2 linked regions of the Cricetulus griseus genome follow. The protein of the gene in region 1 interacts with the protein of each later gene in a pairwise test. Links are inferred from orthologs where the notes say so. Each region holds a gene or a part of one and is shown in the gene's direction. Other genes may lie near its edges. The genes, in order: Trim21 and GRB2-related adapter protein.

Evidence for each region.
Region 2: the proteins of Trim21 (region 1) and GRB2-related adapter protein interact in binary tests that used the Homo sapiens proteins (3 or more experiments, as listed by UniProt). The two-hybrid records come from large-scale screens. The link is inferred for Cricetulus griseus from reciprocal best matches to the Homo sapiens genes TRIM21 and GRAP.

The regions. Positions count from the first base shown.
Region 1 is NC_048596.1:96,820,105-96,824,441, forward strand, and holds the start of Trim21 (E3 ubiquitin-protein ligase TRIM21), read left to right. Parts: upstream 1-1,277; 5' UTR 1,278-1,410; intron 1,411-2,676; coding exon 2,677-3,072; intron 3,073-3,429; coding exon 3,430-3,525; intron 3,526-4,337. UniProt on the Homo sapiens protein: E3 ubiquitin-protein ligase whose activity is dependent on E2 enzymes, UBE2D1, UBE2D2, UBE2E1 and UBE2E2.
Region 2 is NC_048600.1:75,656,214-75,660,746, forward strand, and holds the start of GRB2-related adapter protein, read left to right. Parts: upstream 1-1,624; 5' UTR 1,625-1,911; intron 1,912-2,344; exon of another isoform or gene 2,345-2,605; intron 2,606-4,533. UniProt on the Homo sapiens protein: Couples signals from receptor and cytoplasmic tyrosine kinases to the Ras signaling pathway. Plays a role in the inner ear and in hearing.

The DNA.
Region 1 (4,337 bases):
ATCTAAGGAATAAATTTCTCACCCCAGACCATCTGAGAAGAGGGGAGCAAAATTGGAAGATAGAGAGATGGGAAAAGAGTATAATTAAAGTACACTGTATAATTAATATATGCTAATTAAAACAATGACAGGATCTTTCACCCCAGATTTTATTTTTTGTTTTGTTTTTCTTTTTATTTTAATTAGAAAGAAAATTATTTTACATGTCAATCCCAGGTCCCTTTCCCTCCCCTCTGCCTCTCACCCCCCCACCCCACAACTAACACCCTACCTATCCCATACCCTTTCTGCTCCCAAGGGAGTGTGAGGCCTTTCATAGGGGGTCTTCAAAGTCTGTCTTATTCTTTGGGATAGGGCCTGGGCCAACCCCCTTGTGTCTAGGCTCAGGGAGTATTCCTCCATGTGGGATGGGCTCCTAAAGTCCATTCCTATGGTAGCAATAAGTACTGATGCACTGCAAGAGGTCCCATAGATTTCCAAGGTCTCCTCACTGACACCACGTTCAGGGGCTCTGGATCAATCCCATGCTGGTTTCCCAGCTATCAGTCTGGGGACCAGGAGCTCTGCCTTGTTCAGGTCAACTGTTTCTGTGGGTTTTACCATTCTGGTATGGACCCCTTTGGCAGGGAGGTTGAGTTGAGGGAAGAACAGAAGAGAGCAAGATAAGAGATAATATAATAGAGGGAGACATAGGTTTAAAGAGAAATCAGGCACTAGGGAAATGTCTGGAGAGCTACAAAGATGACAACAACTAACAATCTAAGCAAAAGAGGAGAGGCTACCTTAAATGCCCTCCCCTGATAATGAGATTGATGACTAACTTGTATTCCATCCTATAGCCTTCATCCAGCAGCTGGTGGAAGTAGAAGCAGACAGCCACAGCTAAACCTTGAACTGAACTGAAATCCAGTTGCAGAGAAGGAGGACTGATCACCCCAGATTTTAAAGAACTACCAGTCTTGTGAGAAGGAATCCATTACTGGATGGAGCAAGCAGATAGTGAATCCTCTCCTTCCGGACCCCTTCTCCCAGATGCTCCCAGGTGTGAGGTGAAGACCCTTGTCAAAGGCAACACATCGATATCGTGTAGATTACATTGTTAAATAAGACCAGGAGGCCTCAGAGAGAACGAAGGCAGCAAGGCAGTTTCCTCCACCTGTGCCTGCGGCTAGCAGGCTAGCAGTCGGCAGCTTCTAGCACCTTTGACCTCTCTCTCACACGCTCCACCCAGTCTCCGCCTTCTCTGCTTGAGTCCTCCCCTAGCCGTTCAACTCTCCGCTCCTCCCCTTGCTCCTCCCGCTTCCTTCTAGACTAGCCTCTGAGAGGAAACTGAAAGTGAAATTTAGGGAGCAGGCTTGTGAAAGCCACACTGGGAGCTCACCCGTAGCCCATGCTGAGGACCCTGCTAAGGTGAGTGAGGCTGGGATCCCCGACCCACCTAGGAGTGCTCTCTCCTCCGCCCCTTCCCACCTGCGACTCCCACCCGAACCTGCCGGCGCACCTGCTGCTTCTTTTCAGCAGTGTTCTCTAGTTCCAGCCCTGGCTGGCTGCCCACACAGGCCTGTGGAAGCGGGGCTCTGAAAGTGACTTTCCCGGTGCCCTGCCTGGAAGGGGCTGTTTAGTGACTGGTGCCTGAGCTGAGACGAGGGGGCTAGTAAAGGTGGGAAAAGCAGGCTGTGAGCTAGCCCAGAGGGGAGCTCAGGGAAACTCCTGTCCCTTGAAGACCTCTGCTGGAGGTGAGTACTAGCCATTTAGAATGCTCTACTGAAAATTTATGTAGATTTAAGACTCTCAGCGCCCTAAAGGAAGTTAAGACAGGTACTAGGTTTGGATAGTCTTAGAGAAAAGCCTGGCAACTGCTCTCCACAAATGTGTATGGATAAGTACACATATTCACATATGTACATAAACATTCATATAGGAGAACATGTGGACACACCTACATTGATGCATTTGTGCTCAAGTATATTTTATAAATAAGAACATATTAGGATAAAAAACAGCTATGTATATATATGTATATACATAAATACATACACATGCAACCCTAATGACTGGGAAATGTACCCTTAGATGATGCCATAATGAACACACACCTTGAAGTATACTTCCATGAACCTATGATATAGCCTATTATTCATCATCATATTTGACCAAAATATCTCATGTAACGAATAACTTCGTAAACCTTTGACTCCTTACTCCTGCAGTTATTGTCAAGATTAATGAAGACGGACATAAGCAATGTAGCACCCAGTTGGAATATGGAGGGTGCTTGGTAAATATGGCATATGGTAAATGGTCACTCTCCGCGCCATGGAGGCGCAAGATGAGAGAAAGTGTGTGAGAGAAGTCTGGACACTGAGGGTTAAAGCAGGGATGGATATGATGAGCTGGAATTATTAACAGCATTATCCCCGCCACTTTCCAATGTTTCTTCTGGAAACTCAGTTTCCCCTTCTGCCTGACTAGATCAATGGGTCAGACTAGGGAGGAGAGGCTGCTGTTGTGCAGGTTGATACTCTTGCCTTCATTTGTTTCCTTCTCCTGTGTCATTTTCTCACATGTTTTCCTTTGCATTGTTTTGGGAACTTTTGGTATTGTCTTGCTTTTGCTTTTGTCATGCAAACTTTCATTTATCTCTTCCCTCCTCCTCTGCACTCAAAATCCTCCAAGATGGCTCTGGAAAAGATGTGGGAAAATGTCATCTGCTCTATCTGTCTGGACTCCATGGTGGAGCCTATGAGTATCGAATGTGGCCATTGCTTCTGCAAGGAATGCATTTCTGAGGTCGGGAAAAATGGTGGCGGTATATGTCCCGAGTGCCGGCAACAGTTTCTGCTCAGAAACCTCAGGCCCATTCGACGTATAGCCAACATGGTAGAAGACCTTAAACAAACAGCCGGGGATGCCAATAAGGACACCCAGGAAGACCGCTGCATGAAGCATGGAGAGAAACTTCTAGTGTTCTGTGAGGAAGATGGGCAGGCCCTTTGCTGGGTGTGTGCCCAGTCTGGGAAACACCTTGACCACACCAAGGTCCCTATTGAAGAAGCTGCTCGGGTATACCAGGTGAGGCTCTAGCACAGAGACACCCATAGATATAAAGAAGGTGCTCCATGAAGAATGCTCCGCTCCCCAGCATAGTGACTGAGAGTCATCCTTACAGGGGAATGGAGGGTAGTTTCTCATTGAGAGGAACTTGTGCATCAAATACAAGCTTATTTCTCAGGAGCCGAGACTATGCCGTGGGATGTGCGTGGATTATGCTTCCTCTGGCTTCCTGGTGAATTAGAAATGTAATGACCAGATCCCATTCCCCATCAGTGTCGCTCTGTTTTGTAAGACATACTAGGTTTCCCCCAAAGTCTTCCCATTCCCCTCTTCCACATCTCTATCTGGGGACTAACCTACCACCTTTTTCTACAGGAGAAGCTCCTCGTGGCTTTAGAAAAACTGAGGAAAGGGAAAGAATTCGCCGAGAAGCTGGAAATGGATCTTGCAATGCAAAGAACAGACTGGAAGGCAAGAACCCGGGGATAGGCTGGGTCCCAGGTCTTGATCTCAAGCAAGCATTAACTATGACTGTGCCTATCCAAGGGGTGGGAGAATTGTTATATAGGTCACTCCCCAAGGACCATCCACACTATATCTCTAGACAGAGAAGAATTTAAGAAAGAAAGAAGGAAGGAAGCTTAAAATCAGATGAGATTTCCCCCAATCTGTCACAAAGTTCAAGAATTACTGCAGAAAGTCTAAGAAGGTCACACCATCCCTTCTGACCCTGTCTCGGTGAATGACGGTCTTGTGATAACAGGTCTGAGGTATCCTGTGAGAAAATCCCAACTCCTGCACCCTTTAGACATGACAAAGAGGGGAGGGAACAGCCGGAAAGGATCTATGTAAGTCTGAGGTAGGAGGCCCACCTGACTCGGTGGCTGCTTAATGATGACCAGGCTATTAGTGCAAAGCCTGGTAAAGAATTAAAGTCTGTCGCATTGGTAATTTGCCAGGAGAAAAAAGGATACATCTGAAATTGACAAGGAGTGTAAGGGGCTCAGAGCAATCACAGACCCCAAAAGTGGAATGGGATTAGCAAAGACTGAATCAAGCTGTGGTGGCAAAAGAAACGAGATCATCTGTGCCATCCGGTGACCCTCCCAAGATAGCAAAGACTGTACTGAGGCCACTGTTGTCCCCTCGGGCCTAGGAATTGTGCATCATTGGAAGTGGGAAAAGATTTTACTCTCTGTGACTTGTCAAGATAGAAGGAGAACACAGGGACTCACATAGGCATTACTGGGTTTTGGAAGAAAAGTTGAGAAGATGTTGGTGCC
Region 2 (4,533 bases), on another chromosome or scaffold:
CTGTGTACTCCAGACTAACTGGCTGGAGAGTTTCCCACATTATCCTGTCTGCCTCCCACCTCAATGTAGGAATGCTAAGGTTACACACTACAACAAATGTGAGTATGGACTCCTCAAGAGAGAACCCACTTAAATGTCTTAACCAGTAGCACATAAGTGATTTTAGAGGCTTCTGAAGTTATAGTCTTTAAAGGGGTCTCTTCCTTTTCCTTTCCTTCCTAACTTCCTTCCTTCCTTCCTTCCTTCCTTCCTTCCTTCCTTCCTTCCTTCCTTTCTTTTTTGAAGTGGGGCTTCATGTAGACCATGAAGATTCAAGCCAGCCTTGAACCCTGAGGATGACCTTAACCCTCTGCCTCCCGAGTGCTGGGATTACAGGGATGCACTACCTCGCCCAGTTAAGTGGTGCTGGGGCTGAAGTCTAGAACTCCATGCATGCTAGGCAAGCATTGTACCCACTAAACTATACTTCCAGTCCTGTTGAAAGGGTTTTCTTTTCTCTTTATTTTATTATTATTGTTTGTTTTTTTCTGGAAAGGGTTTCTCTGTGTAGCCCTGGATGTCCTGGAACTCTACTTGTAGATCAGGCTGGTCTCAAACTCAGGGATCTGCCTGCCTCTGCCTCCTGAGGATTGGGATTATAGGTGTGTGCTATCATGCCTTGCTAATTATTTATTTTATTTTACTTTAATTGAGATAGATAGCTCAGGCTTGCCTGGAACTCACCCTGTAGACGAGGCTGCCCTCGAACTCAGGAATCCACCTGCTTCTGCCTCCAGAGTGCTGGGATTAAAGACATGTGCTTTAATCTACTGGGCTTCTCTCTCTCTCTCTCTCTCTCTCTCTCTCTCTCTCTCTTTCTCTCTCTCTTCCTTTCTTTTTTTTCTTCCTTCCTTCTCTCTCTTTCTTTTCAGTAAATGAGATCCTAGGTTTTTTTTTTTTTTTCAGAGTTGTGCTGAACAGAAATACAGCCTGATAAAATCAAACCATAGGATATAAGAACTGAGGGAATGCTTCCCATACTAGTTTCAAGGGAGTGAGGATGTATGCTGTGACTATAAACAAGTTCATAATTTCATTTGTAAAAGTCTCAGAAAGCTGCAGGCTTCAAACTGGGAAAGGAGTGAGGCTAACACAAATATCCTAGTTTGACCTAGGCATGATTCATTGCTATGTAAGATACTTATGTGAAATATCTCTGCATAAAAGAATGTTGTTTCTCTGGGAGATCCTCATAGCAAATTCTGTCAATGGTGATGAATTCTTGACTCTTAGAGGACAAGAGTCACAGGCGAAGGCCTCCTTTTCCTTCTATGTTCCCTTTGTTTTTTTTCCTCTGGCTAGAGGCCTGTCTGCTCCCTCCAAGGCTTCCCAGCCTTTGCCTTCTGGTGCTGGGTGTCACTCCTAAGAGGGAGCTCTGACACAGGACAGGAGAGATGACAGGAACAGATGTTCTGGCTGGAAGCTCCAGGTGGTGGGAGAGCTGAGGAATTCGGGAGTGGCTAGAGGCTGGAGGAGGCAGCACTCCACAGATCAGCACCACCCCCACCCTGACTTTCCAGAGAAACAACCTCAGGCTCTAGAGCTGGTAAACCGCTGTGCTGGTGCGAGAAGCATAGGAAGCCAGGGTGCTCTGAGTCAGGAAGGGCTGTGTGAGAGGAGGGCATCATGAGGAAGGAGTCAGAGCAAGGAAACTCAACCCAGCTTCCATCCCAGAAGAAGCTGGGCTGACCTGTGGGGAACAGGCTGCAAGTTCATGAGGTTGGAAGCTCTGAGGTCACTAGACTAGATGACGAGCTGTGCAGAGGTCACCTTGGGGCCTTTATCATCCAGATTGGCAGAAACATGGGATCTCTCTGGAGAGTTCATCCCAAGTACCACAGAAGACAGCAGTGATAAGTCAGAGGGGGTGAGGTAATGACAGACACAAACATTTTTTTACTGTGTGTATGTATGACGTGTGTGATGTGTGGGAGCATGTGTGTGTGTGTGTGTGTGTGTGTGTGTGTGTGTGTGTGTGTATGAGTGTCATAACATGTACATGGAGATCAGAGGACAATTTTTAGGAGTTGGTCTCTCCTTTCTCTGTGGGTTCTGAGGATGGAGCCCAGGATATCCATCAGACCTGAGCAGCAATAACTTATACCTGCTGAGCCATCTCACCAGGCCAGAGATTTTTTTTTAAATGTGTGTGCATGTTTGTATGTATACGTATTTTGTGCATGCAAGTATTCATGAGCATACATGTGGAGGCTAGAGGTCAAACCCTGGTATCTCTCTCAATGTCTCTCACCTTGTTTCTGGAGTAGGGTGTAGAATTACTTGTCTCGCCGAAGCAATAACATACCTGATAAGATCATTGTAGTGAAGAGTTTGTTTTGGATCACAGTTCCAGGAGATACCATCCTGTCTGTCACGATGCTGGGTAAGGTTTGGTGGCAGGAACAGAAGTGGCTGACCACACTGCATCCAAAGTGAGAAAGTAGAGAGTAATGAATGCTCTCTCTCTCTCTCTCTCTTTCTCTCTCTGTTGCATTTGGTCCAACAGTTATGGTGGATCTCCCCATTTCTTGGAGATTAGATCTGGGATCCAAGGTTGCAATCGATGCTACAACACATGTGCAAAGTGAAAGTAAGTTGGCAAAGTAGCATTGACTATTGCTAAAACGTGCACTGCTTCGTTCAGGCAGCAAGCACACTGAACAGGAAATAAATGTGCTAGATTTTTATCCTTGAGGGCACTGTGTCTTTTCCCCACTGGCTGGGGTTTGAACTCACAGTGTTTGAAGGTTGGCTGATTGAAAAAAATTGGTGTTAAGAAAACAAAGAAGCTGGGCGTTGGTGGCACAGGCCTTTAATCCCAGCACTCGGGAGGCAGAGCCAGGCGGATCTCTGTGAGTTTGCGGACAGCCTGGTCTCCAGAGCGAGTGCCAGGATAGGCTCCAAAGCTACACAGAGAAACCCTGTCTCGAAAAACCAAAAAAAAAAAAAAAAAAAAGAAAAGAAAAGAAAAAGAAAGAAAACGAAACTGGGGTAAAGGGTCTCCTGTCTTGGCCCACTGAGTTTTGAGAATGCCACAGACTTCTGTGTAAACAACGTTTTTTCAGGAGTCACATTGTGAAGGTTCCATTCCTATGATCAGTCCTTTGCTAGAAAAGACTTGGATTCCTTCCGACTATTTCCTTCACTACCTCAGTGTACCCAACCTAGAAAATTCCGTGTAGCAGCCCAGGCACCAGCACCAGTTACTCGGCAACCTGTCAAGCTGTTCAATATTAGATAGCAACCACAACCTGAGCTCAACAGTTCATTTAGATTAGCTGGCCAGCAACCCTTAGGGATCCTCCTGTCTCTGCTTCCTGGGCACTGGAATTACAAGTGTGTGCCACTGTGTCCAACTGTTTTATGTGGGCCCTGGGGATAGAACTCGGGTTCTCATGCTTGTGCAGTAAGCCACTTACTGATTGAACCATCTCCTTACCCAGAGAGTTCTTAAGACTAAATTATATCCCAGGTTCTAAGTGAAATGTTGTGTTTACAACAGTAAACAAGCAAACAAGCCAAAGACTAAAACTAGAGTATTCTGAGGTCCACTTCTGGCATGGCACCAATGAGGACCTCTGTAGATCTGTCTCCCTTCGAAACTGGGGAAAACCAATGCAAACAAGTACACTTTTAAAGTCTTAGGGAATTATCGTCATTGTGAACAAAAAATGAAGGATCATCTACAAATGCTCCTTGGCTTATGATAGTGTTCCAACCAGATAAACTCATGGTAAGTTTAAAATACCTTAAGTGAGAAAAGCATTAAATCCACCTAAATTGCCTTAAACGTGCTTCGAACAGTTAGCAGGCAGTTGGGCAGAATCATCTAACTCATACTATCTTGCAGTGAATGTTGACTTTGCAGGATTCTGATGAAACACCACCAACAAAGCACACTGTGTGTGGGTAGTCTCACCTTGACTGTGGGATGGCTGGGAACAGCTCAGAGAGGGCTTTGGGCAGCAATCCAGGAAGAATACAAAGCCCAAACTCAAAGAGTGGTTTCTACTGGGCAAATGTCATTCTCACATACCGTAAAGTTTCAAAAACCATGAAAACCATTCTAAGTCTAGGACTGTCTGCATTCTAGGGGCTGGAGATGTGCTTAACGATAGGGCACTTGCCTAGCATGTGTGAAGTGAGGAGAGGAGGGGGAGGGGAAGAGGAACCAAGAACGGACCTCACACACTCTTCCTTCAGAGGATCAGAGTTAATCTGACTCATCTGTAGAGTGGTTTATGACTCAGAGAATTCTAGAAATGGCAGTTAGTGGGGGCTTAACAGCTGTGTGTAGTCAGGGAAAGAGACAGAGGCAACTCTGACGAAATCACCTTTATCCTGGGCCACTGTGAAATCACCTTTATCCTGGGTCACTGTGGGTATACCCAAAGCTGTGCCTGCTGAGGAACAAGTAATTCACTCACTAAATCATTAAACAAAGTTTATCTAACAAACTAAATCCAAACAAAGAGTTGGAGAAGGTAACAAATA